Linked DNA regions of Oryctolagus cuniculus. The main gene of each other region encodes a partner of the protein of the gene in region 3 in a complex. Links are inferred from orthologs where the notes say so. Each region holds a gene or a part of one and is shown on either strand. Other genes may lie near its edges.

What was found.
Region 1: the proteins of BCCIP (region 3) and TENT5A are in contact, whole or in part, in a crystal structure (PDB 8EXE), measured with the Homo sapiens proteins. The link is inferred for Oryctolagus cuniculus from reciprocal best matches to the Homo sapiens genes BCCIP and TENT5A. Residues at the interface, in NP_510868.1 of Homo sapiens: Val57, Asn58, Ile59, Glu60, Phe61, Glu62, Ala63, Tyr64, Ser65, Leu66, Gln146, Val149, Leu150, Phe152, Cys153, Glu154, Lys155, Asn156, Cys157, Glu158, Lys159, Glu163, Lys167, Leu203, Ala204, Ala206, Thr225; in NP_060103.2 of Homo sapiens: Arg87, Gly88, Asp139, Glu151, Gln155, Lys158, Lys184, Glu185, Val188, Gln189, Lys190, Met191, Val192, Lys193, Val194, Cys195, Asn196, Asp199, Trp201, Asn213, Arg289, Lys295, Glu331, Arg334, Gln341, Asn342, His343.
Region 2: the proteins of BCCIP (region 3) and TENT5C are in contact, whole or in part, in a cryo-EM structure (PDB 8EQB), measured with the Homo sapiens proteins. The link is inferred for Oryctolagus cuniculus from reciprocal best matches to the Homo sapiens genes BCCIP and TENT5C. Residues at the interface, in NP_510868.1 of Homo sapiens: Val57, Asn58, Ile59, Glu60, Phe61, Glu62, Ala63, Tyr64, Ser65, Arg136, Gln146, Cys153, Lys155, Ala204, Gly205; in NP_060179.2 of Homo sapiens: Asp90, Asp92, Glu102, Gln106, Arg109, Lys135, Glu136, Val139, Gln140, Lys141, Leu142, Val143, Lys144, Val145, Cys146, Thr147, Asn164.

The regions. Positions count from the first base shown.
Region 1 is NC_091436.1:90,751,938-90,762,266, forward strand, and holds TENT5A (terminal nucleotidyltransferase 5A), read left to right. Parts: upstream 1-3,488; 5' UTR 3,489-3,642; coding exon 3,643-3,662; intron 3,663-3,866; coding exon 3,867-4,410; intron 4,411-5,514; coding exon 5,515-6,291; 3' UTR 6,292-10,232; downstream 10,233-10,329.
Region 2 is NC_091438.1:52,808,281-52,818,543, reverse strand, and holds the start of TENT5C (terminal nucleotidyltransferase 5C), read left to right. Parts: upstream 1-4,324; 5' UTR 4,325-4,582; intron 4,583-10,263. UniProt on the Homo sapiens protein: Catalyzes the transfer of one adenosine molecule from an ATP to an mRNA poly(A) tail bearing a 3'-OH terminal group and enhances mRNA stability and gene expression.
Region 3 is NC_091446.1:5,834,839-5,844,926, reverse strand, and holds the start of BCCIP (BRCA2 and CDKN1A-interacting protein), read left to right. Parts: upstream 1-4,160; 5' UTR 4,161-4,200; coding exon 4,201-4,368; intron 4,369-7,812; exon of another isoform or gene 7,813-8,500; intron 8,501-8,607; coding exon 8,608-8,682; intron 8,683-9,316; coding exon 9,317-9,397; intron 9,398-10,088. UniProt on the Homo sapiens protein: During interphase, required for microtubule organizing and anchoring activities. During mitosis, required for the organization and stabilization of the spindle pole.

The DNA.
Region 1 (10,329 bases), on a different chromosome or scaffold from region 3:
TGTCTAGCTCTCCACTCATTGCTGGGAGGGTCATTCAAAGCTCCCACTAGCTCCGTCAGGCTATTGTTCATTCTGGTTTTCAACTCTTGCAGGATAGAATGCCCTGGCCTGTGCAGCTATGACAAATGTGAACATCCAGAATTTGGAAAGGAAGAAGCAGTAGAGTATGGTTGCAGTCCAAAGGGAAGACTAAAAGGAATATGTAAAGATAGAGACTCCCAGAACATAAGGGGCCCAACACTGCAGGTCCAAATCAAGGTTCTGCTGCTTCTCGAAATTACTTACCCTCTTACTCCTTATGTTTATTTTTGGAAAATATATAAAGTTCTGTTTTTTAAGAAAGTTCAAAAGAAGTAATGTATAAAAATACTGAGAACACTGGCTGGTACATAATAACAACCTTAATAATAGTAACCCTCTTAAAAGCCAATACCAAATTTCTTCTTGTTAATTCTTATTTCAGTATGGATTATAACTTTTCAATCAAGATCATGTTTCTCTCAAAAATGTAAATAAGGCTTTCCTTTAAAAATTTTAAATAAAGATTCTTAGCTCCCTCAGAAATTAATCTATATTTAGACTGTCTGTATTTCAGTTTTGTGGTGGTCCTAACTTCAACTCCTGGTATGACATTGTCACTTTTTTCTTTTAAATGTGAACAAGAAAATTACTTACCAGTGAGGTTCAGGAGCTAAAGCATGAAAACCAAAGCAATCCTGTACTTCAATTTAAGAGTAACTACGCTGAAAAAGTTCCTGGCTGTGAATGTATTTGGAATTTACAACTGGATAATTATTTTGGAATTTACAACTGGATAATTATTTTGTTATCTAGAAAAAATGTTAATGCTGGCAATTGCAAATTTGCAATTTTATGTAAGGACGAATGTTTTTCCCCCGAGTGTAAATATTACCTTTCAGTAGGACAAGAAAAAAGAGGGACAATGAACAACATTGTCATTCAACAGTATGTAACAAGAGGCAGCTATGAATCGAACACATATTGATCCAAGGACTAAATTGTCCACCAAGGCACTGTCAAGCATAAGACGTCCTGAGTGCCGTAGTACAGGAGTCAGCAGGGTCTGGGTTATGGCTGGGAAGTGGAGAATGCTTAAGTGAAAGGTTTGGGGAAGTGCCAGCCACAAGTCCTGGAGGGGGGGGGGGGGCGCGGATGAGTCCTGCCCCAGGGCTGCTCAGAGGCTCCCTTCTCAGGTTCGGTAGAGTGTGACAGCATGCCCTCAATGTCCAGATTCATCTTCTGCTTCCACCTCTCAGTCATGGCCTGCATGCTAGGGAGAGGCCATGGGAGCAAGGGCAGCCTCAGCTTGGGAGAGGGTATCCACTTGGAGAAAGGGGTGGAGGGTTGTAGTAGCTGCTGTCAGGAAAGCGCGAAGTGGGGTTGGGCACGTGTGTGTCAGAACCACCTGGCAGCTTACTAGATCCACAGAATAAGATCCTGGGATGGGCACAGCTTCTGCTTTTTATTTTTTTCATTTTTAACGGAAGGTTAAGTAACTTAGAAAATAACTACAGTGGGCATAAACACTTGATTTTTTCTAGTACGCTGCATCTAATAGATGATTTTTCTGGCCATGTTTTAAAAACGGGCAGAATTCACACTGGCCACCGAAGGGAGCCAATCTATATGGGCCTTTTCCCACTTTCAAAAAAAAAAAAAAAACGTTTTGCTATTTGTACTTACCTTGTCCTCCAGCGACAAGGTATTGACAAGCCGCAGACATCCCATGCTCAGCACTGACAGAGGTATCCCTGTGCAGACCGCTAAGCACTGGCAGGCCCAGAGATGCTCCGTAACTCCCTGCAACCCAAAAGCCTTCCTTCAGTGCACCAGCAAACTCACTGCTACCCATCCTTGCTCAAGCATTCTGCCTTTCTATGTCTCCCCCTCCGGGGAGCATGCTGACAGGGACCACAGGTGCCCACTCCTCAGGCGGCGAGGGCGGCTGAGGGGCCGCGGCCGGCACGGCTCTCCGTCCTGGGACGCAGCTCCGCAGGGCGCCGGCAGGGGGCGGCGGCGTCACGCCGCTGCCGGCGCCGCGGGGGAGAGTCCCGCACCTCACGCCCCGCAGCTTCGGAGGCTAATTCCGGGCTCCCACAACTTCAGGAGCGGCGGCCGGAGTTGCGCCGGCTTTGGGGGCAGGCGCGTTCGGCTGCCTCAGCGTTCTCCCCGCAGCCGCCTCTTCCTCAACCTCCCACAGCCTCTACGTGGAGAGCAAACCGCTGAAAGAGGCGGCGAGCGGCCGGCGGGCGCGGACCGAAGTAGAGAGCGCGGGGAGCAGTCTGCAAAGGTGGGGGAGCGGGTGTGCAGGGATAGCTTAGGAGAGCGACGCTAGCAGGGGAGCCTCTGAAACGTATTTTGCACGCCGCGCCACCTCCCACTGACATGTTCATTCACTGGAAATGAGCGCATCGGGGCGGGCTACGCCGAACGCGCTTCGCCGCCTCAGCTTTCCCGCCGCGGCGCGTCAGGCCCCGCTCGGCGGCGCTTTCGTCGCCCGGGCGGCCGCGCGCTCGCTGGGGCGCGCCCGGGGCTCGGCCACTGGCCGGCCGCTCGGGGACGCGCTCGGGCCCCGCCGCGCTCCGGGCCGCCCGCGGCCGCAGCCGGACGCACGTCCGCGAGCCGCAGCACCGCCCACCGCGTCTCCGCGGGCTCGCCGCGACTTCCCCGGCGCGTTCTGAGGTTTCGGGAATCGAAACCTAGTTGTCGGCCAGCCCGCCCCTCACGTAGGGGATCGGTTTGCGTGGGACGCGTGAACTCGCTGGCCCGCACGGGAACCGAGTTCGTTCACGGAGTGTAGACAGAGTTTCCAAGACGGCATCGCTCGATCCCCAGCGCGGCAGGGACGCGGTCCCGGGCGGGATTTCTCGCTTGGGATGTTTCTGTAGTTAGGCCATTCTAGTGGGATCCGGTGACATGGATTTAGTGGGATTCATGGCCTCTCAGTCCTCGGACAGGGCGTTTTAAGTGTCTCCTTGTTTGGAGGGGCAGGGGAGGGAAGGTGGGAGAAGAGGCTTGCGTGTGGCGTACGTAATTAGCATCTGTAGAAATACACGCACGAGCGCCCGCGTCCGGAAACCCGCACAGCGCCGCGGCCGGAGCCCCCGCATTGCTGGCCGTGGACACCCCGCGCTCCCAGCTGTGGACACCCCGCGCACGGCGCGGCGGCTGCTCCGCCGGACGCCGGGGCGGGCGAGCGGCGGCGAGCGGCGGCGGCGGGGGCGGCGCCCTATGCAGATGAGGAGGGTGTGGCGAGCGCGCAGCGCCGGGGCCCCGGAAGCGCGGAGAAGCCCGGTATAAAAAAAGTACTGAAGACGTTTCCCCCGCACAACTGCTAAAGCTCCAGAGACAGGAGCGTGTGCGGCGGCGGAGCGGGAGCCGCCACCTCCGGGACCACTGCAGCGGGGGCGGCAGCGGCGGCGGCGGCTCGGGCGGGGGCGAGGGGCGGGAGTGGCGGTGCAGGCGGCGGGGGTCTGGGAAGAACGAAATCCCAGCCGCTGCCGGCGGTGCGCTAGCAGCTCCGGGCAGTGTTGCCGCCTCGCGGTTCCTCGCTCGCTGCGCTCTTAGAAGGGGCGGCCGCCTCCAGGTGACACAGACGGGACTCTCGCTTGCGCTTTCCAGATGCATCAGAGATACTTTTGGTGCGGGGCTGCTGTGCGGGGCGCGGCGGGGCACTGCTGGGGCCAGCGGGGGGTGGGGTGCGTTGGGGTGGGGTGGGGAGGGTCTCCGGGCGAGCCGAGGAGGGGCTGCGCGCTCAGACCACGGCGGGCCACTGCCTGCCGCTGTCGCGCGTCCTCACCGTGCTCCTTTCTCCCCCACCCCCGCACCCCACTTGTTTCTCCTAGGACTGAGCAGGGCCCAGTGGCGCTCGGCGGGCACTACATGGCGGAGGGCGAAGGGTACTTTGCCATGGCCGAGGACGAGCTGCCCGGCGGTGCCTACATCCCGCTGGGCGGCGAGTTGGGCGGCGGCGACGGCGGCGGCGGGCACTGCTTGGACTACTGCGAGAGCCCCACGGCGCACTGCAACGTGCTGACCTGGGAGCAAGTGCAGCGGCTGGACGGCATCCTGAGCGAGACCATCCCGATCCACGGGCGCGGCAACTTCCCCACGCTCGAGCTGCAGCCCAGTCTGATTGTGAAGGTGGTGCGGCGGCGCCTGGCGGAGAAGCGCATCGGCGTCCGCGACGTGCGCCTCAACGGCTCGGCCGCCAGCCACGTCCTGCACCAGGACAGCGGCCTGGGCTACAAGGACCTGGACCTCATCTTCTGCGCCGACCTGCGCGGGGAAGAGGAGTTTCAGACTGTGAAAGACGTCGTGCTGGACTGCCTGTTGGACTTCTTGCCCGAAGGGGTGAACAAGGAGAAGATCACGCCGCTCACGCTCAAGGTAAAGCCGCCTCCGTCGCCGACGCGCTGGGGGCCTGGGGGCCTGGGGGCTGGAGCGGGGCGGCGGGTAGGAGGCAGGGCTGGGGGCCTGTGCGGGCGCCCTGGAATGACTTTCCTGGTGACTTTGCTTTTTTCCCGCGAGTAAACCAAGCTGCGTGGACGGCATTGCGTCTTTGCGTGTACTTGGGTGCTTCAGCGCCACCGCTCTTCTCGCTTCCTCCTCTGCGCCCCGGCGGCTTCCTTTTCCCCTGGGTTTTTGACCCTTGGCTCTTCTTGCTGGAACCTTGGGCCGGGTAGATTCCGATCGGTGGAGACTGAAACGGAGTCAGTTGTTTGTGATATAGTTGGGGAAGGAGCAGCCAGCAGCAGAACTGAGTCAGTGGGTTTCGTCTTGTACCGGAAAATGTGAATAGGTTGCCTAGCTGCCTTCAGCCGAGTCTGGGAATTAGGGACGTATCTGGTGGTGCTCCGTATTGGTTCGGTGCTAAGTGTTTAGTGCTACTGTCTTCTCCTCGCCCTCCGCTCTGGCTTACGGCACGTTTTATGTAATTAGTTAAAAATTGTCCGAGGAAGCGTCAGCCTTCCAGTGTCGGACTGTAGTTCGTGTCTGATTATAACTGCACAGTAACCCTGAAGGGACCCTCATGGGATGCTGATAACGGCCTGGGGGGGGGGGGGGGGAGGGAGTAGGGGGAAGGGAACGAGGTGTCTGGGGACGGGGGTGAGAGACTAACCACTGCGTGCTCTTCTGTGTCTGTGGAATATTACCTGGACGCCGTGTGGATATGGTGCCCATTAGACTATTTTCAAAAAAAAAAAAAAAATTGCAAAAGTCAGACATGACAACAGAGCCTCTTACTGCTGTGCTGCCTCTGCCAAAAGCCTCAAACTATTACTTCTAGTCTCTTTCCCAGACAGTGAAGCTACTCGTTAAATTTTTTTTCCTGTCTTCAGAAGACTGCTTAAGCCTGCAGGTAGTGTTTTGCTGAAACTTGACAAACAAAAGGAAAAGTGCAAAATTTATTCTCAGCAATGAAGAAGTTTTATTTATTTTATTGCTTTTTCTAGGTTTGCTCATTTTCTTGTTTTATCTTTTAAATTATAGGAAGCTTATGTGCAGAAAATGGTTAAAGTGTGCAATGACTCTGACCGATGGAGTCTTATATCCCTGTCAAACAACAGTGGCAAAAATGTGGAACTGAAATTTGTGGATTCCCTCCGGAGGCAGTTTGAATTCAGTGTAGATTCTTTTCAGATCAAATTAGACTCTCTTCTGCTCTTTTACGAATGTTCAGAGAATCCAATGACCGAAACATTTCACCCCACCATCATCGGTGAGAGTGTTTATGGTGATTTTCACGAAGCCTTTGATCACCTTTGTAACAAGATCATTGCCACCAGGAATCCCGAGGAGATCAGAGGAGGAGGCCTGCTTAAGTACTGCAACCTCTTAGTGAGGGGCTTCAGGCCCGCCTCTGATGAGATCAAGACCCTCCAGAGGTACATGTGTTCCAGGTTTTTCATCGACTTCTCAGACATTGGAGAACAGCAGAGAAAACTGGAGTCCTATCTGCAGAACCACTTCGTGGGCTTGGAAGACCGCAAGTACGACTATCTCATGACCCTTCACGGAGTGGTGAATGAGAGCACAGTGTGCCTAATGGGACATGAGAGAAGACAGACTTTAAATCTTATCACAATGCTGGCTATCCGGGTGCTAGCTGACCAGAACGTCATCCCTAATGTGGCTAATGTCACTTGCTATTACCAGCCGGCCCCCTATGTAGCAGATGCCAACTTCAGCAATTACTACATTGCACAGGTTCAGCCAGTATTCACATGCCAGCAACAGACATATTCTACTTGGCTGCCCTGCAATTAAGAATCATTTAAAAATGTCCCGTGGGGAAGCCATTTCAGACAAGATGGGGGGGAAAAAAGAAAAACAAACAAAAAGAATGACCCAGCCCTGATTAGGGATGTGTTTTGTGCAATGATGATATGCTCCAGGATTTAAGCTTGGCGAAGCTTGTGGATCTTTCTGTAGGTATGGGAGCATGATCTTGAAAGATCTCCCTTCCTGACCCTCCCTTTATCCTACCCAACTGGATTCTGTCTGAAACAAAAGAGACCTGTCATTAAAAGCAACCAGGTTCTCTTAAGATAACAAGAGAAAAAAATTGCTTGATGACAATATGGGTTTGCAGTAAGTGCTCCCATAGCTTTGCCATAGTGAAGACAAAAAGTGGAAAATTTCCTTTAAAGGTGAAAAATCTTGAAAGGGAAAATACAGAGGAAAAAAAGATCTCACCTCCACTTGTTTGTGAGTTCCAGAGTTCAGATAGTAACAGTACAGGAGGGAGGAGAACTCCGATGTTGGTGTTGCTATCTGAGTTTGTAGCAAGTGTTTCTGTTGTGCGAACAGAAAGGGCTTGCTCCAAATGAACAGTAGTAGGTTGGTGCAGTTCTCACAACAAACAGCAGAATTTAAGATGACACAATCCATTAATTCCAGCTGCGTGCATAGCTCGCATTTTTAAAATGTGAAAATGCAAGCAAAAACAGCTGGGGCAAAGAAAGTATGCTCAAGGACCAAAGATTTAACAGATAACAATACCCAAGTAGAAGAGGTATAGTAAAATATATGAAGAATACTATATTTGTTACACACCAATACACATCAAAGTGCCTGTTGCCTTCTGAAAATTTGAAGTGGAAAATTGTTTTATGGTTTAATGCTTATTTTATTTTATCAGGGACTCAAGAAGAAAATAAAACAACATATAAGCTTGTGAATGGTGGAGAAAATGCCCTATTTTTTTCTTGGCAAATACGTGTATAAAGTTGACATTGTTGGTGTGATATTATAGGTACGTGTGTATTTTATGTGTATATATACACGTATCGTGTGTATACACACAATACATTGACTATGATCTACAATAATGTATCAAATAGGAAATGTTTACTATATGTTTTTATGTTTTCAACAGGATGATATGAGATATGGGCATATTGCAATGATGAGTTAAAACCCACAACTAAAAAATTAAATGAAGGAGGAAAGCAAGTAATATATTTGATAGGAAGAACAGAGATTATACATTTTTAGTGATTTTTTTTTCTTTCCTTTTTTATGAGCCAGAGAATTCCACAAATGGGAGAATATTTGTTTGGCAGAGCACTCTTTATATATTGAACTGTCATTTTGACAGTTTGAACCCCCCCCCTTTTTAATTAATTGCATGCCTCCATGGTATATAATCTAGTGGATTATGAATCAGTGGTAGGCTACTTAAATTCCTAACTGCTAAAAAGAATTTCTGGTGATCTGAACACTACTTATTAATATTTAAATGAATTTTTTAATGAATGCATTCTGCATTTCTGGACCACTAGAATTTAGTAAATGTGAAATGACCCTTTTTAAAGAGTATTTGCACAATTGCTTAAAGTTTATATATGAGATATATATTATATATAATATTTTATAAAATCATGCCAATATGAAACTTCTTTGATCTGGTTGTCACACTGCATTTAAATATTTAGTACTGTAATTAAATCATCTCTCACTAAATCAAATCCAACTTTATTTTGTCTTCTCTGGGAGACCAGTATAGCTTTGTGAAATGAACTGGCATTACCATTACAGTTTGAGAATGGCTGATCCCCAAATTGCCCTTTCTTCTCGAACCTTAATTCCTCTAGACACTGGTCTCTGAAAATGCATTTGCTAAAAATTGAACCAACACATAAAACCTTCCATTTCTGTAGTGAAACAACCACACAATCCCCATCAACCCTAGTGGACGGCTGCTTCCTGTGAAAATTCCTCTGAATACTCAACAAGAAGATTTTTGTCATCAGTTAAAGAAGGACTGGGGGAGAAAATAGCATTCACCTGTTGGCGTGCAACCTGTTTGCTTGTTTGTTATCTCGGTATCTCTCAGATGTTCAGTGCTAGGTTAATCCAGGTGAACCTACCTGAACACATTTTGTACAGCTTTCTTTGAAACCTTAACAGAAACCTAATGAGTTTGCTGTCACAGCTTCCCTGTGAATTCTCTTAGAGCTGACACAGCCCTTGTGTTGCCATCCACTGTTTTCTGGGGAACTCTTCCTGCTCCCACTTTGGCTCAGACTCCTTCACTCTAGCCCTGGGTTGAAAAATTAATTGCAATGTACCAGGAAAGATTTAATTTACAGATTAAGCCTGATCCTCACCTATCAGAAGAAACGAGAGCTCTCTGCCTGTTTAGCTGTTTGGAAGTTTTCTAAATAAAACAAAAAAACAAACAACAGCAACAAAAAATCTAAGGCAATGCTCAGGAACACAGGAGCCACTGGTGACCAGCTTTCTTCTTATCCCGATTCTTGACAAATTAGCTGTTTACTATTTTAAAGAGTCTGGAGATCTCTGACTCTGACATTGCAACAACCTGCTGTTAATTTATCACACAGATTTTTGTAGGGAGGAGCCCTATTTGAAAATATACTTCTCATTTTTCTCAAATATTTATATTCATTTTTTGCTTACTTGAGGTTTGGTAGCTTAGTTGAAAGTGCCAGCACCTGGCGTTCAGTTAGACCAGGCTGTACTCAAAACTTGTCAGCATTTACTTTAATACGTATATAATTTATTTCTATTTTGTATGTACTTTAGTCTTGTGCGTATGTAGTTGAATGCACAGTGGAATATATGTCTCTCTTTGTGGATATGTGGCCTAAAAATTTGAATGTCTGGTGAGAGAGAGCCGTGTGTATAGGTCAGAGAAAAAGAATAGCTCTCAACTCCCTGTTAGTGCCTGTGATTTGTTTGCTTTCGTGTTTATCTGGCCTCGTGTGCTGTAACTTTAAAACGGGAAGATATTTTGTCTTCTGGAGGCTCTTCTAACCTGTCCAGTCAGGCATGTCAGAGAACACTCGCCTGCAACAGTTCCCTTTTAAAAGTTTACTTCGTTTGCAGTAAATTCAGCTGCCTGCAGAACTCCTACACCAAGGTGGACTTGTCCCTACCAGAAATGGAATCACAAGTAACTGCTCACTTTGACATTGGGTGGACTATTTTAACATGGTTCCAAAAGCTACAAGGATAGAAAATGATCTGTAACCCAAGCCAAGAAGGAAATGAAATGAAAAGTGAACATACTGTTTTTCCCACCCCTTTCTGTTTGCTTACCGTTGGTTGCTTTACTGTGCACAAAGTTGTTTTCCATGCAATACTTGTTAAATAAATATTGTGAACTATGTTGTAAATGAAATGTATTTTGTTGAAAGCTGTCAGCAGTTTAAAAATAAGCTTTTTTTGTTGAAGTGTGTTAGATGAAACCAAAAAGCCAAAAAAAAGTTCTTTCATATATAGCACCTATTTAAATATATTCATTCTTTAAGATTTCTTTTAGCATAGCTTTTTCAATGCTAAGAAAGAATCTCTATGTTATATTTTATGATAATGGCTTGCTAACAAAGTAAATGGTAAAAGTACATAGTGGAAGATGTCAAGGTAACTTGGCAAGACTTGCTGCAAAGCTTTGCAGAATGGAGGAGGCTCTGCCCGCTGGCTGTCTCTCCCTCCAACCTCGCTACATCCATTGTCTGCTCTGAAGCGTCCTGTTGCAGCAAGCCGCACTTTGGGTCACTCTTTGGGGATATTTTGACTATAGACTGTGTCACAGGCAGAAAAGGAGTTGATGGAAAATGGACTCTTAGAAACTGACATGTTTGGATCAGTGCTAGAGGGATCAGATTGTGAATTTTGTTTACAGCATCCAATATTTGGATTTTTTTTGTAAATAAAAAGAAGTTATTTTTTTCTATTGATTTGTGTCTGCTCTCTTTGATGTCTGTTGGCTAAAGACCAGATCGTCTGAATCACAACCTGACAAGGCAGTATGTGGAGAAGACCAGCCTTCAGCAA
Region 2 (10,263 bases), on a different chromosome or scaffold from region 3:
TCCTGGCCATTGTCTTTCCCCTTTGTGCAGGAGGAAGCTGAGACTCAGAGAGGTTAAGCTCTGTGTCCGAGGTTGCACTGTGGCTGAGACAGGGATCCAAGCAGTCAGACTCACCCCCTTTCTCCACAGCCACACCATCAGGGTGGGTGGGCAGCGATTAAGTCCACATGGTTTACCTTTGACTTCTTCTTTTCTCTGACAGTGTCACCCATGCCCCCTCCTCCTTCCTGGAGCCCTGTCTTATTCCCTTCATAGGGTCTTTGCATGACTGCCAGGCTGCCAGAGCTGTGCCCATAGATGCGATCCACCTCCCCCTTTTTTCTTTCCCACCAAATCCAACCAGTCCTGCCTCCCATTCATTCTGGGACTTAACTCCAAATAAGACTAATGTCTTCTGGGGCTGGTGCTGTGGTGTAGCGGGTAAAGCTATTGCCTGCAGTACTGGCATCCAGTATGGGTGCAGGTTCGAGTCCCAGCTGCTCCACTTCTGATCTAGCTCTCTGCTACGGCCTGGGAAAGCAGTAGAAGATGGCAAAGTCCTTTGGCCCTTGGACCTCTGTGGGAGACCGGGAAGAAGCTGCTGGCTCCTGGCTTCAGATCGGTGCAGCTCCGACCATTGTGGCCAACTGGGGAGTGAACCAGCAGACGGAAGACCTCTCTCTCTGCTTCTCCTTCTCTCTCTGTAAATCTTTCAAATAAAATAAATAAGTCTTTAAAAAAAAATAGGCTAATGTTTTCTTTCTCTGAATCTCATTCTCTTTCTGAAACACCCAAGAATACTGCTTGAGGAAGTCCGAGAAGAGATGGGCATTTCCTGGAGAGAGTGCTGGTGGGAATTAGAAAGCCAAGTCATGTCTTGGCCCCACCAGAGCACAGACAGTGCCTCTGTGGTGGTTTTAAAATCTGCCAGGGAAGGCTTTGATGCTACTTTGTTTGTGATTGAGTGCCGGTAACATAGGTTTGTTCAGTTTGTGAACACTCACTGAGCTGTGTTCTATACACTGTGCCCTTATCTGCATACACTGATAAAAAAACTTAAGAATTGGTTTAAAGAAGATGTTTAGAGAAGGGTATTTGAATAAACATCTACAGTGGTGATTCACCTTGAGATACAGTAGTACAAACACTCAGGACTTAAGAAACTGATAAATCAGGCCACAGCTAGGCGCTGTACAAAACTTCTTTCTTGAAACAACAAAGTTTTTCAGGGCCACTGCTACAAGTGAGGCATGCTTGCATCTTAAAGACCTTAATGCTTTTCTCTCACTCAGCTTTCCCAGGTGCAAATCAGTGAACCACCGGGAATGTAGAGGTTTTTAAACCACGTTGACTGCAAGTGCTTCAGCAGGGTCCGGAATTTGGCAAGGAGGCACAGTATATTGGACAGTTTCAATATCTGGTTCCCTGTCCTGTCCGATAGGCAGGACGTGGGTACTTTCTAATACTCCTTCCAGCTCCAGGATGCCATGGTTTTATGAGGTAGAAAGAACAGACTGTATTAAAAAAAAAAAAAAAAAAAAAAAAAAAAAAAAAGCAAAAGCACACAGTTGAAACCAAAATCTAAAAACAAGTCAAATAATGAATATCCCAAGGAAAAAAATTATGCCTGTGTATGAATAATGAATTTCTTTTTGGCGCTAGGTTCTCCCGATCTCTCCACCATATAATTGCCTAATTTTGTTCAGAAAGTTGAACAATTTCAGCCAAGCAAAGGTGCTAGGTCAAATTCTAGGCTAAGACTTTTTGCCCTGTGTTCTACCTTGAGGCCACCTGTGCTAACTGTATCCACGAGGCACTGAAACAGTTGAAATGGCCAAAGCCAATGCAATAATCTGTATTAATTTTTTTATGATTGGAGATAATTTATGGAAGGATGGCTAAGTTACTGACCCAAGGCCTTATAGATAGAAAAAGTGAAAGCAATGAAGAAAACAAAGGAGATTTTCTTTTTGGCCTTAGGATAGGCAGAGACTTAAGCAGGACATAAAAATACTAGTCATAAAAATAAGATTCATAAATTTTAAAATTAAGAATTTATGTTGTGGGCTGGCACTGCAGCAATTGTGAGTTAAGCCTCCACCTGTGGTGCCAGCATCCCATATGGGCCCCGGTTCAAGTCCCAGCTGCTCTACTTCCAATCCAGTTCCCTGCTATTGTGCCTGGAAAAGCAGTAGAAGATGGCCCAAGTGCTTGGTCCCCTGCACCCACACAGGAGACCCAGAAGAAGCTCCTGGCTCCTGGCTTCGGACTGGCCCAGTTCCAGTCATCAAGGCCATTTGGGGAATGAACCAGAGGATGCAAGATCTCTCTCTCTCCCTAACTGCCTCTGCTTCACCCTCTCTGTAACTCTGCCTTTCAAATAAAAATAAATAAAATTTAAAAAAGAATTTATGTTTATCAATGATAACATTAAAATAAGAAGCACGTCATAGGTTGATTGAAGATATTTGTAATACATAATGCCCTGGACAAAGGACCCGTATTGAGAATATACAGAGTTCTTACACATCAATGAGACAGACACCTCCCCCAAAATGGGCAAAAGCCTTGAACAGAGACCTCATTCAACAGGTGCCAGAATGGCAAGACGCATCTAAAACGTTGTTCACCATCATCGATCATCAGAGAAATGCAAATTTACATCAGAATGAAATACACACCCCTCCTCCCTTCTCGTAAACTCGAAAGACTGACAGTACAAATACTGGCAAAGATGTGGAGCTTCGAGAAATCTCACATCACTGGTTAGAACATAAATTGTTACACCACTTTAGAAAACTGTTTGGCAATATATCTAAAGCTTCACATGGCTTACTCCAGGAACCAGGAATTCCAGTCTGGGTGTATAACTGACATAAATGATTTTGCTATGTCGACCAAAAGACGTGTAAGAGTGTTCAGGCCGCTTCATTCCTGAAAAGTCAATATCTGATGCAACTCAAATGACCGAATATTTATAGAATGAAGTAATAAAGAGTAATGAAAAAGAACGAGCCACTGTTAGACACAAGAGTGAACCTCACGGTTTTGTATGTGGATCTGGGTGGCAGGTACGTGGCTGCACACGTGTGTAAAAAAATCATCATTCTGCACACTTCACGATTTGTGCACTTTACTTAATGCTATTCCTCAAAAACGGTGAAAAAATACCAGACCATACATCCTCATTTTGGGACCAACAATAGGGCCACTGTGGCTTTTCTTACAAGCACCTCAACCTGCGGTCCTATCCCATTACAGCTCCTGGGGACTCCCAGGAAGACACTGATCTGAGAACTCAGCCTGCTGTCAGCGGCTGAGAACCATACGCATTTCAGGCAGGGACGGACATGGGGGGAGGTGAGGGCAAGGAGACACTGCAACTTTTCCTCCGCAGCTACTAGAGGATGAAAACCAGCTCAACGACTGTTTGTTGATGAATAACGGCTACCATTAGATATAAGCAGCATTCGCCACGGGGTCACCTTATACCAGACGCTGCACTGATCAACTTTTCCAAACCCAGGGAGCTCCGACTCAGCACTAGTCCGACCCTTCGAAGCCGTCCCAGGCTGGGTCCCAGCCTGCAGCCAGGAAGTGGAGGCTTGTGGAGAGTCCTTTAGGTTGCTCACCCAGGGCCTTAACGCTGGTGGTGAACGGAGATGCCAACCCCAGCGAGTCTGAATGCTGGCCCTGGGCTGGACGCCGCCCCCTGCGGGTGAATGGACGGCGTTCAGGCCCCGCCCGCACGTTATGTAACACACACGGCTGAGCCCCGAGGCGTTCCGGGTGCGGGGCTGGCCGCGGCTTCCCCAGGCCCTCAAGCCCAGTAACTGCCCACAGGTGGGCCCTGCAGCCTGCTCACCCACCGCGCCCCCGTGACCACGCCTCCACCCCCACCCCAGCCCCAGCCCCAGCCAAGCGGGGCTTGCGCAATCCCAAAGGTTCCCAGGGCCCTCAAGCCACACTTCTTCCAACTTCACGCACAGCGCCGGATGCAGGCATGGGCACCTCATGGTCCGCTGCTGGAGGAAGGGGGACCAGTGCGAAAAGCCCCGGAGAAACGTAAGAGAGGCAGGCTGCAAGGGACCGGACTGGAGGCGGGAGAAGCTTGTTGGGGGGGGGGGGTCGAGTTACCCTGCGAGGGGAAGGGCAGAAAGGAGAGAGCCGTCCCGGCAAACGCCGAAGTCAGGGGTGCAGACACAGCCCCTCTCTATTGCGCCTGCGCAAGGCTGCCGCGCCGCGCCCCGCCCCTCCCCGCCGCAGAAGATTTACTCGTCTCTCGGCAACCATTCACCCGAGCGGCCAATCAGAGGGCAGCGCCGGCCCCGCCCCCGCCGTCAGCGCGCCGGCCGACTCCTCCCGAGGGCCTGCGCCGGCCCCGCCCCGCCCCTGGCTCCCCCAGGAGGGCAGGCTTAGAGGCGGGGGCCCGGCGGCCGCGGCGGCGGGCGGGGGCGTGGCCAGGCCGTATAAGAACGGAGGGGGCGGCGGCTGGACGGCTCACTCGGTGCCGTTGCCTGGGGGCTGCAGTGACCGCGCCGCTCCTGCTGGGGGCTGCCCACGCCAAGGACCTGCCTCTGTCGCCGCCTCTTCCACCGCCCAGGTGAGTCCCCGACCCCCCTCCTCCAAAGGTGCGCGGGTGCCGCGGCGGCCGGGGCGAACCGCACGCTCGGCCCTCGGGGGTCCGCCCCTAGCGAGCGGTGCGCCCGTCCTGGTCGAGCCAGGTGCGGGGAGCGGGGACCGAAGTGGAGGCGCGGACAGGTGCCCCAGTCCTGGGCTGCCTTCGCCTCCTGCTCCCTCCACGATTCGGCCGCCCGCCCGGAGAGAGAAAGAAGGCTACAACTTTCCGGAGACTGCGGCCGGGGCTTGGCAAAGTGGAGCGAGTTCCTGCTCGGCGCGTCCCGCGGGGCAGGCGCAGGCAGGGAGGCCGGGAGTGCGCCGAGAGCGCCTCCGGGCCCGCTCCGGGCCCGCTCGGAGGCCCCACCGCACTGGCCTTGCTGGCGGTCTCGGGCTCGCCCCTACGCTCCCGCGGGCTCTGGCGGGCCGAGCGCGAATTCGAACGCGGCGGTTCCGCCGGGCGCACTTGGAGACGGAGCGGTCCGAGGCTTGCAAGTTGCGGGCAGGGGCGGGGCGCTGCCTGGGCGCAGAGCCAGGGTCTGGGCTGTACGGAGAGGGGCGGGACAGCCTTGACTGTCGGTGGACTCGCTGTCCGCCGTGGACACACCGAGGGCAGCCCAGGAGCCGAGCGAGGGGCTCGTGCGCGCGTGTCTCTCGGAAAGCGTCTGCGGGACCCGATTCTTACCCCTTTGGGAAACCAAACTTGCTTACCGCGTGGGCGGGAAGCCCCGACGGGTCTTGCGGACTTGGATAGCGGCGCAGCGGCTGGCCTCCAGGCGCGTGGGCCCCGCGTGGTGTCCCGGTCCCGGGCTCCTGGCGCTGAGATCTCGGGACGCGAAGGAGAGCGACGAACCTGCGGAGTCCAGGTGTCCGCCTTGAGGCCGCGAGCGCCAGCGAGGAGACCCGAGCGCGCCTCCTCGGAGTGAGCGAGGCTTCCTGGAGAAACGCGCCGGTCGTCCGTGGCGCCGGCTGTTGGGGCTGAGCCGGACCGAGAGGGACGGCTCCCCGTGTGCCCAGAGAGAGAAGCTTCTGCAGGCTCCGACCAGCTCTTTAAGTGCGGATCTGCTTTCAAAAAAAAAAAAAAAAAAAAAAAAAAAAGGCTTGTAGCTTGTATGACAAGAGTACGAGGAAGTGCTGGAAGCGCACTTGCAGCCCATTTCCATAAAGACTATGTGTGTAAGCATTTGTATTGTAACCACTTGGCATTCAGGATGGTGGGTAGGGGTTGGAGTCCTGAAGCACCCCAGGACGGAAAGCTCAGATTATTAAATGCTGGCTGTCCTCCTGGGAGGATGAGGGTGGCCATTGTTGGCTGCACCGACCTTTCAACGTGAGTAACTTGGCAAGGAAGCAAGCCAGGCAGGCAGGCAGCCAGGCACCGTGAGCTGGTGGAGGAGCTTACCAAGAACTGCCCCGTGTCTTCCAGCCCGACTTGGGACTTGGACCCCGCCCCGTAGACCCTGCAGTTGTGGGGGGGCAGGGTGGGGACTAAAATGCTGACTTTTCTGTTGCTGGCAGGGAGGCAGGCAGTCTGGGCTGGGGCAGTGGTGGTTCTGTCCTTTGACATTCTTGCTTTGCAAATGAAAAAAAAAAGCAAAACATGATCTCTGGGGTGAAGCTTCGTGTACTTCAGGTCCCTGAAACCTTGTCTGTTGGAGTATACACCTGCTCCTGTCTTAGCAGTTTTTGGAGAGAAGATTTTGGTATATTGTGTGTAATTATTCAGGGAGCTGCAGGAGGTGTCCCCAGAAGACCACAGTTAAAAAAAAAAAAAAAGTCTATCAGGAGGCATCTAAGTTACCAAAGGAAGGTCCCTAATTTCATAAGTCATTTGGTGTGTGCACACAGAACTAACAGCCATGCTCTTCCTAACGAGGAGTTTGTTCCACAATAGTAGCCTTGTATCCAGAGATTAAATTCATGCACCTCTGAAGGAAAGGGCCTGGCTGGGTTTTTGTTTGTTTACTTGTTTTGTGTGTGTGTTACAGAATGAATGTTATTGATTGAGCACCAGCTCTCCCTGCTTAGTTTCTCCAGCTGTCCTGCTACCACAGGAGTCACCTTATCCTGAGTCCCTGCCTCCCCCGCCCAGCCCTATCTCCCAACAGTGCACATATTTAGCCATCCTGCCCTGTGTTCAAGGTCAGGGCAGACCATGTACATCCTGCACAACCCATCAGAACAGAGAATTCCTCATGCTTCTGAAAGTCCAAGGAACAGCCTGGCAACAAAGATAATTTAAAAGTGCACCATCGTGCCCTTATTCTTACTATTCACTGGACACACTTGAGACACAATGAGAAAACTATTTTAATTTCTTTTCTTCCTGCTTCAGTAGGTAGTACCGGGGTCCTCCCTTTTCATCTTGGATGCGTTGTATTCACGGAGTCAGCCGGAGAAGGAGGACGACCCAGGAGTTCTGAATGGATGTGCTGAACCTTGTTCATCACTGCGGGAGGATGAGGCAGCCGAGGCCTAGTTCCCCGAGTTAAATTAAACTTGTGTTGTTGTGTTTGGGTTTCGTGGTGTTGCACCTGACTTGCAGTTGTATCGCTCGTGTGTGTGTGTGTGTGTGTGTGTGAGAGAGAGAGTGTTAGTTTTGTGGTTAACAAGGAGCCATACAGAGTCTAAAGTGTCACTTCGGAAAAACCGTGAGTGTGGCTAGATAAAGTCTGTTGCTTTGTTATGTTGTCACTGAAGTCAGCAGGGCAGCACAGAATAATGTCTTCTGCGGTCTTGGTGCTTTGGCTGTGGCACACTGAATTGTCATCAGTCGTATTACGATGAAGCAGGGCACCTTTGTAATTCAGAGAAATGTTCCCATCTGTAAAGCCACTTGGGCACATCAACAGTGCTGATAATCTTATGATATTTCCGGGACTGAAGAGTGCTCTAACTTTTCTTTTAACCCTTTCGTTGCCTGCATGATAAATAAGCTTGTGTTTGGAATGTATATGACTTGGAGGGAGAATTGTCATTACATAGCCCAACTCTGTATGGGAGCCTTGTGAATTGTTTCCAATGAATAGATCGTGTGCAGCTGGCCCCGTAGCCTGTTCTAAAACTGTTTGCGGAGCTTGGGGAGCTTCTTGGAACAACAGGAAAGAACCAATATGAAGAAATAACTGCTGCTGTTAAGCAACCCCCCGCGTGGGATGTTTTTCAGCCGCAGAGCCTTTGGAGGCTTGGTCACTCGAGTGTGCAGCGTTTCCTCTTGGGTCGCAGCGCTGGAGGCAGTAAGTGGTTAAGTGCTTCCTAGGCAGCGCTTTGTGCCAGGTGCAGTGGAGGCCAAGGCAATGGTATGTGAGGGCCTGCGGAAGCCTCCGCGGGCCGCTGTGCGAGAGAGGAGCTGGGTTGACTTCAATCCTGCCCTGGAGCTGCTCGGTTTGCCCTCGTTAGTGAGCTGCAGGTCAGGGGCAGTGGGGAAGTCCATGCTTGCTGAGAACCCCAGCCTGCCCGTGTCGTCGTGTGGATTGTGGGCGCGCCCCTGCCATTCCTTGTCGGAGTAGGAGGCGTGCTTTTGGTGGGCGTCTTCCTGGTGGGCCGAGGCATGGGAGGGAACCTTTTTGGACCCAAAGCCCCCAGCCTAAAGTGCAGGGCAGTTTCTGGGTCTTGGTTTTCTGGAGGCCTCAGGGGTATAGGTCTGGCGCCCAGGGCCGAGACCTGCTAATTGGCCAACAGCTGAGGCTCCTGAAGCCTCCCCGGGCTGTCCCGCCCCCAGCCGCCCAGGGCTCGCTCAGCCTTTCTGTCTCTCTCCACGTTCACTCAGTTGCTCGTTCTGCTGATGCTTTCTCTCTTTTATATTTGGTTTCCCACTGTCATCACTGACCTGGTTTAGGGGCCTGTGGACAGCTGCCTGCTGAGAGCACTGGCCCAGCACATCTCTCTGCCTCTGGCCAGTTCCACTGTCCCAGGCTCCCAGGACCCTCTGCAGCCACTCAAGGGGGCTGCCCTTCCTCATAACACAGAGCCTCCTTTCTCACTCTTGTCTTGACCTCCCTTGTCCCGTCTTGTGCCTGCCCTCCCTAGCTGCAGAGTACCCACTCCCCCTTCCTCCCCAGACGTGATGGGGGTCAGCTTTGGGCCCTTCGCACAGGCTTCTGAAGCCATGGCTCCTGTCCCCTTGCCTCTCCTCTGCAGTACTACTTCTGTACCGTTGTGCCTGGCACCTGATTTTCTGGTTTTTGTCTTCCATGAGATGAGCACAAAAAGTTCCTTACCTGTGTCTGTGTTGAGCACCTCCTCCATAAGAACTTATTGAGGAGAGAGTGACGCATGAACCCTGCCCTCTCCACTTGCTTAGCCCTTACAAGGATAGGAGAGAAGGCAACACTCCACCTAGCCCGGCTGCCTACCCCTCACCCACACACACTCTGTTGATCCCTGCCCTCTGCTTGCCAGAGTCCAAGATGAGCGTTTAGGTCTCCGGCAGCTGCCTGGTGCTGGGGGTGTTACATTATTCTGTCAATCACATGGAGTCACTTTTTGGAAGTGTGCTGATCCAAGGGTGGAGGTGAAAGGCGTTGCCAGCTGAGCACCTGCGCTGTGTCTGGCTGCTTGCCAGGGTTGCTCAGCTAGGAACTAGCTCTGGTTCCGTGTGCTGGGAACCTCACACCACGTAACGGCTGCTTCTCCCCTGCCCAGGCCCTTTGTAGTCTTTATTCCCCCACCTCGCTGCCTTGTCGGCTGGCTGCCTTCAGTTGTGGGGAGACCTGGGTTCTGGTCCTGGCGGAACTCTTGGCTCTTCAAGCTTCGCTGTCTTCATTGTAATAAGGGCAATCGCCTAGACCAATAGAAACAGGAGAAGCACAGTGAACCTTCCAGTAGTTGTGGAATTCATCTTACTGGGTCTGTTTACCATATCAAATACTGTGATTTGAATATAAAAATATAAATGAGCTATTTTCTATTTTTTCATACCAAGTCTTTGAAATCTAGTGTGTATTTTACACTTATTTGTTTTTTTTTTTTTTTAAGATTTATTTATTTGAAAGGCAGAGTTACAGAGAGAGAGAGAAAGAGAGGTGTCTTCCATCTGCTGGTTCACTCCCCAGATGGCTGTAACGACCGGAGTTGCACCGATCTGAAGCCAGGAGCTTCTTCTGGGTCTTCCATGTGGGTGCAGAGGGAGAAGGGCTTGGGCCATCTTTCACTGCTTTCCCAGGCCATAGCAGAGTGCTGGATTGGAAGTGGAGCAGCTGGGACTTGAACCGGTGCCCATATGGGATGCCAGCACTACAGGCAGTGGCTTTACCTGCTACGCCACAGCGCCAGCCCCTGCACTTATTTGAACCTGCTGCATTTCAAGGCTCATGGCTATCATATTGGCAGCCAAGGTCTAGATGGTATAAAAACATTTTAGTCTCAAATTCTGATTCCACATGTGTATGTGGAAGTCAAGAATTCCACAGCCCTGAGTCCTGGGAAGAGAGAATGAGCCGATGCAAGCCTTCCACGGGCAGGGATCTTTGTTTCTGACTTGCTGCTGTATCATGAGCTCCTAGAACAGTGCTCGGAATGGAGGCAGCACACAGATAGGTGAAAGACTGCCAGAAAGTTGGGCCACTGTTGCTGACTTACTGATACTCATCTGCCCTGTGAGTCAGACTGGACACCAAACTACAGCATGTTTGATTCCTGATCTGGTGCTTCTTCTGTTGCTTTGTT
Region 3 (10,088 bases):
AGCACGTTGGAAAATAATGACTTGAGTTCTCACTCCCCACCTGGTGTTTCATAACTGTTGTCAGAATTAGGAGATTGCCAAATGACCTGGAAGACAATCTGTCAACCTGTAACAAAGGCCTCATAGATGGTTTACCTTTGCTTCCTATAATTTCACTTCTAATAACGCACACTGGGGCCAGCACTGTGGCACATATGGGCACCAGTTGGAGTCCTGGCTGCTCCACTTCTGATCCAGCTCCCTGCTAATGTGCCTGGGAAAGCAGAGGAAGATGGCTCAAGTACCTGGGCCCCTGCACCCACACGAGAGACCCAGAAGAAGCTCCTGGCTTTGGATCAGCCCAGTTCCAGTCATTGTACTCATTTGGGAAGTGAACCAGCGGATGGAAGGTTTCTCTGTCTCTGCCTCTCTATCTCTGTAGCTCTGTTATAATAAATAAAATTTTAAATAAATAAAAAAAAATTTTTTTTAAATTACTTTAAAAAATCACACTAAGGCAATAGTCATAAATAAATCTGTAGATATTCTTTATAGCTGCAAATAATTGAAAACAGTGCAACACTCAATAGAGGGGATGGTTAAAGACAACACAGCATAGTTACATCAGGTCATGAAGATACCCACAAGTATTACATAATCACAAATAAAAGTAAACAAAGCAGGGTTCAGGACTACACAAACAGTATGACTTTGTAAGTCTTACATATACACATACATATGAAAGAAAATGTACCAAAATATTCACAGGAATTATCTTCGCAGGCTAGGATGAGCCCAGTGCTCTTCAACCAGCAACATCACATCCGAGTACTGAGGGAAGCACTTTACGACCACCCAAGGTCTCAAAAGAAATGATGCTGATCGTTCGTAACAGCATCCTAGCCAGCGGTTAGCTGCTCAACGAACACTCCGCAGTGGCTGATGAGTCAGTGGGGTGCGTTGCTGGAAGTGGACGCGAACGCTGGGCGCCACTCCTCAGGGCCTGCCTGACTGGGTCTGGACCACTGCAGCATCTGTGGAACATCGGAGGGAAATCCGGCTCGAAGGAACTGCCCTGCACCAACAACGAAGCCTCGGTGAAGCTCTGCCTGCTTCCACCAACAACGAAGCCTCGGTGAAGGTCTGCCTGCTTCCACGAGGTGTTGGCTGAGACGGGGCGCTCCGGGGAGGAGCAGTTGTGGTTCCCATCATTTTCTGGTTACTGAAAATGCAGTCAGGGTCCAGCATGGGTGACGGGCACTCTCACGTGTCGCACTGGCCGGATCACAGCTGTCTGCAACGCTCACTGAGGTGTGCCCTGCAGGTCCTCTGGAGGCATGGTCCAGCCCTCCATTGGTGGGCTTTAAGAAGGAGGCCATGCTGGGCTGTGCGGCTGGGCCTCACTCATCGGTCCAGAGGCCTCAGCAAGGGCGGAGCTGCGGCTCCCCCGAGGGAGAGACCCCACCTGTGGACACTCCACAGCCCTCGCTGTCAGCTGCCCTCCTGGATGACCTGCACCGTGAATTCAGACATGCTGGGGCAGGGTTGTTTTTTTTTCATAATGACCTTTCTGAAAACTCCTGATATACATGGACTTAAAAATCTGACACCAAAATAAGCTTACTTTTTAAATTTTATTTTCCACAAATTTTTTGGAGTACTCTTATAAGTCCTAAGTGTTTCCCTCTGCTTGATCTAATATGCCTTCCAACCCGGGGAGTCCAGGAATCTGGCATCGCCAAGCAGCAGCAGCAGAGAGAGGGAGAGGGAGAGAGAAGGAGAGAGGGGAGAGAGGGGAGAGAGGAGAGAGGAGAGAGAAGGAGAGAATCTTCCATCTGCTGATTTACTCCACAAATGGAGTAAATCAAATAGCAGAGGCTGGAGCCAAGCAGAAGCCAGGAGCCAAGAGCTCCATCCAGGTCTCCCACGTGGGTGCAGGGGCCCAAGCACTTGGGCCATCCTCCACTGCCTTCTGAGGCACATTAGCAGGGAGCTGGATCGAAAGCAGAGCAGCCGGGGCTCAAACTGGTGCTCTGATATGGGACGCCCGCATCGTGGATGGTGGCTAACCCACTGCGCCACACCACCCATCCCAACCTTGACATTGTCTGGTAAAGCACAAATCCTTCCAGGGCACACAGCAAGCAGGTGCGGGGACCACAAGCTGTTGGAGGAGCAGCCACAGGATGGCCTGTGCGCCACTCAGCCCCTACCGCTCCTGCCGTGGTTCCAGGCTCCGGCACACAGAGATCCACATTTTCTTTTCTTTAAAGATTTATTTATTTATTGGAAACTCAGAGTCACAGAGAGAGAGGGAGGGACACAGAGCGATCTTCCATCTGCCAGTTCACTCCCCAGATGGTCGCAACAGTCAGTGATGGGCCAGACTGAAGCCAGGAGCTTCTTCCTGGACGCCCACGTGGGTGCAGGGGCCCAAGCACTTGGGCCCTCCTCTACTGCTTTCCCAGGCCATTAGCAGGGAGCTGGATCGGAAGTGGAGCAGCGCCAGCCCCTACCGTATTTTGTTGACTGAGAACACAAGTGGCCATCACATCGCTGCTCTAATTCACACTCTGACCACAGGCTCAACGCGGGGAACCCAGGGCACAAAGCCTCCTCCACTTCTAGCAAAACGATACTTGGTCACTGTGCAAAATGTGCAAACTACCAAATAGTGCAGTTCTTCAAAAAATAAAAAGCAGAACAGAATAGGTACAGGCCTCAAAGAACTGAAAGAGGGAGAGATGTCTGTGCAACCGTGCTGGCCACAGCTAAACACAGGAGCGGCCCAGTGTCCACAAAGATACACGGAATGTGGTGCACACACACAACGGGAATCCAGACACGGGGTAACACCGTTTGACCTGGAGACATCCTGCCCAGCCTCAAGAGGGCCAGTCCTGATTGCTCCTGCTGAGGGTCCCAGAGCTGCGACCTCACAGCCACGGCCGGGCAGGGGAGGAGCCCAGGGATGCTCTCTAATGAGCACAGAACCCAACTCTGCAGGAAGGGAAGCTGTGAGCACGGATGGTGGTGATGGCTGCACAATGCGGACATGCTTAACGCTACTGAGCTTAGAAATGGTTAAAACAGTAACTTTTGTTACGTATATTTTACAATAAGAAGGTATGAAGAAATGGGAAGAATCACTCAAGACACAACTCTATCGATACGTTAGCGCGCTCTCTCCTGGGTCTTTTTTTCTTTTATTTATTTGGAAGGCAGAGAGAGAGAGAGAGAGCAAGAGAGCCCACCCACTCGTTGGCTCACACCCCAAACGCCGGCCGCAGCGGGGGCTGGGCCAGGCTGAAGCCAGGAGCCCCGACCTCGATCCAGGTGTCCAGCAGGGGTGGCAGGGCCCCAAGGACCTGAGCCGTCACCGCCTCCCAGCAGGCGCCGGCAGGGCGCCCAGGCCCCGCGCGCCCGCCCCCCGCACCCCCACGCATGTCAGGGCTGGCTCCTGTCTTGAAAAACTTGCAGGCCAAGAGGGTCAGCAAGGCCAGGGGTTCGGTCCCGGGCGAGCCCGTGCCAGCGGCTGTGGGGGAGGCCGCGCGGGGGCATCGGGACGGGCCCGCTGACCTAGGAGCCGGGGCCAGACCGGACTCGCGGTCCCACGTCGCCAGGACGCGTCGCCGGGCTCCATGTCACAGGTTCCGCGGGCAGGACACCTACCTCGCGGGCAGGTGAGGCTGAACGCGCTGAGAAGGGCCACTGCCCGGGTGTCGCGCGGACCCAGCGAGGAGGCCGCAGGGGCGACGACGCGGGGTGACCGGCCCCTTCCCCTCGTAGTCTGAGCTGCGCGGACCGCAGCGAGGGCCGAGTCCCAGCAAGTCCAGACCCCCGCACGTCCAGACCCCAGCACAGGCGTCAGACTGCCCGCGCCTGGCCCAGCTGGGCGCTCGCGCGTGCGCACTGGCAACTCGGCCGCCGGAAGGAGGCACGCGCGGGGTGGGTCGAACCACTGCGCGAAGGGGAGGAGAAACCTTGGAGTGAAAAGGAGCGGAGATAGAAAAGCCCGACTTTGAGAGCTCATGGCTTTGGAATCCACTAGGGTTACTGGGGCTCATATGTCTTTGGACTCCATTAGGGTTACTGGGGCTCACGTGGCCTCTGCGCCGGCGTCCTTTGTAATGGTCCACCCCCTTAGCCGGTATGCGTTAATCCGGAAGGTCAAAGGACAGGGAGGTGCGCAGGCGCAGTGTGCATCGGTGGGGGGGCAACATGGCGTCCAGGTCCAAGCGGCGAGCAGTCGGGAATGGGGTCCCGCGGCCGCCTGGCGCCCCGGTCCAGCGCCATGAGCAGGAGGAGGAAGATGAAGTTGAGGATGAGGACGAAGATGAGGAAGACAGCGACGAAGAAGAGGATGAGGACGACGAGATCGTTGACGAGGTGAGAAGCACCTGCTACCCCGGTTAGATTTACACCTGAGAGAGAACTTTGTGGCGACCGAGGCCGTGGGCCCGTGGTGTGGGCCGCGCGGCGAGGCGGTCCCCGAGGGTGTGTGGCGGCGGCTGCAGCCTTCTCCACCCGGCGGCTCCTGCCCGGATGCCCGCCGTGAGCGTCCCTGGGGGCTGTGGATGGTTCGCTGCCTGGTGGGGCGGCGGGGCCTCGGAGTCCGTCCTGTCCCGGCTGCGCGGGAGCCCGGCCGTGCCCCGCGCGTCCTCACGGCCGAGGGACGGAGAGGCGGCGGGGATGGGCGCGTGGGAGCGGGCGGGAGGCCGGGACGGGCACGAGGTCGCGGAGGGTGGAAGCCGGGAGGAGCGTGGGTGAGGGGCGCCCTTCCTCCGCCGCCCCCGTTGTTCGTCACTGGGAGCTGTGCTTTGCTAACTTGGGGTGCTTCCTGCATTGTCCGTGGGGCCGTCTGGGATTAAACATCCGTGTGGCTGGCACCCATCACAGATGCCAAACAGGCACTGGGAGTCTGCGATGACGAATCTGGCGGATTTGGAACGGCGTCAGGGCGCGGGAAGTGGGACCCGGGCCGGCGCCGGGGCGCAGCGGGTCGGGCGGCGGTGACAGCCCGGCTGCTCGGCTTCCCCTGCGCCTGGGAGAGCCGCGGAGGGCGTCCGGAGAGCCTGGACCCCGGCCCCCGGGCTCCTGTCCTGGGCCTGGTGCAGCCCAGCCCCTGCGGCCATCTGGGGATGGAAGACTCTGTTTCTGCCTCTCTCTCTCTCTCTCTCTCTCTGCAACTGTGTCTTTTAAATAAATAAATTTTTAAAAAGTGGAACTGAAATATATTTTGATAAAAAATTTTGAAATTCGGGGCCAGCGCTGTGATGTAGCGGGTAAAGCTGCTGCCCGCAATGCCTGCATCCCCCGTGGGCGCCAGTTCAAGTCCCGGCTGCTCCACTTCTGATCCAGCTCTCTGCTGTGGCCTGGGAAAGTGGTAGAAGATGGCCCAGGTGCTTGGGCCCCTGCACCCGCGTGGGAGACTTGGAAGAAGCTCCTGGCTCCTGGCTTCGGATTAGCCCAGCTACGGCCGTTGCAGCCAATTGGGGAGTGAACCAGCGGATGGAAGACCTCTCTCTCTCTCTCTGCCTCTCCTTCTCTCTCTGTGCAACTCTGACTTTCAATAAATAAATAAATCTTAAAAAATTTTTGAAATCCATGCCTGCAAGGAGGGCTTCAGAAAGTTCGTGAAAATGTGTTCCCAAAAAACTGCATGGATTTCAGATTTTTTTTGCACCAAAATAGACTAGCCTTTTAAATCCATGAGCTTTTTCATGTACTCCGTACATGCCCTGATCAGTTCTGCTGGTGAGGAGTTACCCTCAGTAGTACTCACAGCAGTGCCTGCTGCTCCGGTCTCCGTGTTTTGTGTGAACTCGTTGAACGCTCACATCATCCATGAAGCCGGGACTGCCATCATTTTACAGCCGGGGCTGCGTGGCAGGTTACGGGAGAACAGCTTGTGCAGTCTGCGGGGCACTTACGAAACAAGGCGCATTTGATTGTGTATTGACGACTTTTGAAAGAATGACTTATGTTGACAGTAATCTGGAGTGGGGGATGTTATAAGACTTTATAATTCTAACTCTGCTCTCATTGTGATTTTTTTTTTTTTAAGATTTATTTGAAAGGCAGAGCTACCGAGAGGCAGAGGCAGAGAGAGAGGTTTTCCATTCACTGGTTCACTCCCCAAATGCCCACAACGGCCAGAGTTGGGCCGATCCAAAACCAAGAGCCAGGAGTGTCTTCTGGGTCTCCCATGTAGGTGCAGGGGACCAAGCACTTGGGCCATCTTCTGCTTTCCCAGGCCATAGCAGAGAGCTGGATTGGAAGAGGAGCAGCTGAGACTTGAACCAGCGCCCATATGGGATGCCGGCACCGCCAGCCATGGTGGCCTTACCTGCTACGCCCCAGCGCCAGCCCCTCATTGTGATTTTTTTACCCCTGACATGTATGATTTTTTTTTTTCTTAATTATTTTAAAGTAAAGAGAGAGAGATCTCCTGTCCACTGGGTCACTCCCCAAAAATAGCCAGGTCAAAGCCAGGCGCTGGGAATTCAGTCTGGGCTTCCCACATGGGCGGCAGGGACCCTGGTACTGGAGCCATTACCTGCTGTCTCCAGGGTGTACAGTAGCAGGAAGCTGGAATTGAAATTGAAGCCGGAACTTAATTCAGGTGCTCTAATATGGGGTATGACATCCCAAGCTGCCCCTGTGCCAAACACCCAAGCCTGTGTGACTTTTTTTTTATTAAAGATTTATTTATTTGAAAGTCAGATGGAAGGAGGGAGGGAGAGAGGGAGAGAGATCAATCGATTGATCGATCGATCCATCTTCCATCTGTAGATTCATTCCCCAAATGGCCACAATGGCCTGGTGGGGTTGGGCCAGGTCAAATCCAGGCCTCACAGAGATAGCAGGGGCCCAAGCACTTGGGCCGTCCTCTGCTGCTTTTCCAAGGTGCATTAGCAGGGAGCTGGATTGGAAGTGGAGCTGCTGGGACTCAAACTGGTGCCAATATGGGATGCCGGCACCGCAGGTGGTGGCTTTACCTGGTGCACCACAATACCAGTCCCACCTCTATGACTTTGGACTGAAGAAACTTCTAGTCAGTTCCCCGTGTGCACCCAGTGGACCTTTTTCTCATTTGAAGGAGGCTTGCTCATTTGCTTGGTATAGAATCCATGAGAATTACTTTAGAAACTGGAGATCTGCTGCACCTCTGATCTGTAGTATAGAGGAAATAAGGAACTGTGCGTGGTTATTTAAAGCCCTAAGGAGCCTGATTTAAAGGACAAGGGGGGCAGCAGGCGAGTGACAGCAGGGTGTGTTAGGGAACCTCAGAAAGGAGTGCTGAGTGGCTAGGCGTGTTTAGTTAGTCTCTGTGATCCTGGGGCTGGGACTTTGTGCTTCCTGGAAGCCCCAGAGGACAACTCCGGAGGAGAAAAGGGCCTAGGAGTAGCTGGGGTCCTGTCCAGGAGAGCGATGGGAAGCTGAGCGCCACCCCCACCCCCCCCCCTCGGTTCTCTGCCCTGCTCTTCTCTGCTGCTACAGGAATGTTTGTTTTTTCTTTGTTTCTCCTTACAGCAGACAGTCAGTAATACCAACAGAGATTTTTATTCAGAAGAGCAGGACTAGATGCCATAGTCTTGTAGATTCCGCATCAGCGTGTGTGTGTGTGTGTGTGTGTGTGAGTGTGAGAGAGAGAGACAGTGCTGTGTTCTGCAGAGCTGCTCCCTGGAACACCTCGGAGGACCCCTACTCGGGGGCAGGGTTCTGGACGCTCACCCATGGGGCGTCTGCTGCAGTCGGGATGCCACAGCAGTGTAGGACAGAGAGCCGAGGCTTCTACCCTGACAGGGAAGAAGTGCAAGGAGAAGGTTATTTGAAGAATTTATTTCTTAGAGGTACATTTAAGACTTGAATACTGGCGCTGGCACTGCGGCGTAGCAGATAAAGCTGCTGCCGGTAGTGCCGGCATCCCATGTGGGCACTGGTTCAAGTTCTGGCTGCTCCATTTCCAGTCCAGCTCCCTGCTGGTGCACCTGGGAGAGCAACAGAGGATGGCCCAAGTGCCTGGGCCCCTGCACCCACGTGGGAGACCTAGATGAAGCTCATGGCTTCAGCCTGGCCCAGCCCCAGCTGTGGTGGCCATTTGGGGAGTGAACCAGCAGATGGAAGACTTCTCTCCCTCTCTCTCTCTGACTCTGAGTTTCAAGTAAGCAAAATAAATCTTAAAAAAAAAATTGAACAATGACAGTCTGTTATTTGGTTGAGTTTGACCGTGTGTGGAGCTTCCCCAGCCAATGCCCTGGGTTTCACACAGTGTGGCAGAGTCTGCCTCAGAGTCAGGATCTGAAGCGAGCTGGGTGGGGTGCCCAGGCTCTGGCAGGTGGATCAGCCTAAGGAGTGTCTTAAATAGACACACGACCGCAAGGCAAAAGCCAGGTCTGCTTTCTTCCCGACATCCTGCAGCTCAGAGCCAGATTCCAAACCCAGAGAACCTGTTTGAAGTCCAGGCATTCATAGCTCTTCAAGTAGCGTTGTCTTCTTGTCCTTTTTCTGGTATCTTCTGTAGAACAAATAGAAAAAAGAATCTGCAAATTAGAAAATAATGCCTTTTTAAAATAATGTCATTTTAAAAAATGTGTGGTGACCTGTTTTGTATATTATTTACAGGAAGTGAATATTGATTTTGAAGCTTACTCCATCTCAGATAATGATTATGACGGAATTAAGAAATTACTGCAGCAGGTATTGTCTTTTTCTTACTACGCGTAAATTTCTTCATCTAAGAAAAGCCAGGCCATTCTGCATGCTGCCTGGCTGCATCCTCTCAGAGTTCCTGTGTGCACCTCCCTGGAAGGAGGAATGTCCCCCTCCCCAGGCTGACTCCCCTGCCTCTGCCTCTGCGCCCGGACCCCCGATGAGTGTGTTCAAGCAGCCTGTGTCCCTCCCTCATCCGCTCATTGTGTGAGCTGCTGTCCTGTTCTCTGTAGTTCACACCCACACGTGTGGGTACAACAGTTCTTGGTTACAGCTGTGGGCCATCGGCACTGTCCAGCGCTGGCTGCTCCATCGACTCCTCCCCCTGTACGGCATGGCTTTGGCGCTCCGACCTCTGCCCGACGCCGCGGTCTGTGTCCATCTTCCTCCCTCCCCTACTCCTTCCCTTTTCTGACCCTCCAGGACCACCCCCAGGACCCTCTTTCTTGAAATCTTCCCTTCAGCGTTCACTCCTGTGAATTTCTTTTCCTCCTGGGGTTGCTTTTCTAGGTCACTTTGATGGAGTCATTGCAATTTCCTTATTTTCATTTGAACATGAGATTTTAAGTTTTTTAGAAATGATGCTTTGACCTTAATTGAAAGTAACTTTCTCCCCTTCCAGCTGTTCCTAAAGGCTCCTGTGAACACGGCAGAGCTAACAGATCTCTTGATTCAGCAGAACCATGTTGGGAGTGTGATTAAGGTGAGCAGGACAGCTGTGTCGATGCTGGTGCCCGGTCCCCTGTCCTGTCCGGCTCCAGTCGGCACAAGTGTGACTGCGTTGGGAAGAAGGCCGTTGCAGCAGTGCAGGGAAGGCAATGGTGAGGGAGAAGCGGGCTGATTCAGAGGACACGTGGGAGATGAAGTATGAGGGGCGTAGTGTGTGGTTGGCACCCGGGAGAGGAAAAGGAATCCGGGCTGGAGCACCCGAGACAGCAGCTGGGGAGGAGGAGGAGGATTCCTGCCTTTTGAGTTCGAGCTGCCCTGTGATGTGTGGAAGAGATGCACTGGGCAGCAGATAGATGGCCATGAGGTCGGGGAGTGGCCGGGAGTGCCCAGGGTGGGCTGGGGGCAGGCACCCTGGTAACAGCACCAGGGCTCGGGTGGGTGACATGCGGCACAGAGCCAGTGCAGGAGACTGGAGGCGTGACTGGAGAGGTGGAGGGAAGTGGTGGGCACGTGCTAAGCGGAGGGGGGCATTCGAAGGAGGGAGTTGTCGTTTTCAGGTTCAGAGTCCATTAAAACGAGGACTGGATTGAGTCCTTGCTCTCTGGTGGCCTGTCCAGTCTCCCGTTGCTGCGTAACCAGCTGCCCCACGGCCCGTGTCGGATCAGAGCTCTGGGCACTGGAGGCTGGCTGAGGCTTAGTGGGCGTGACTCATCCAGCTCCTGTTC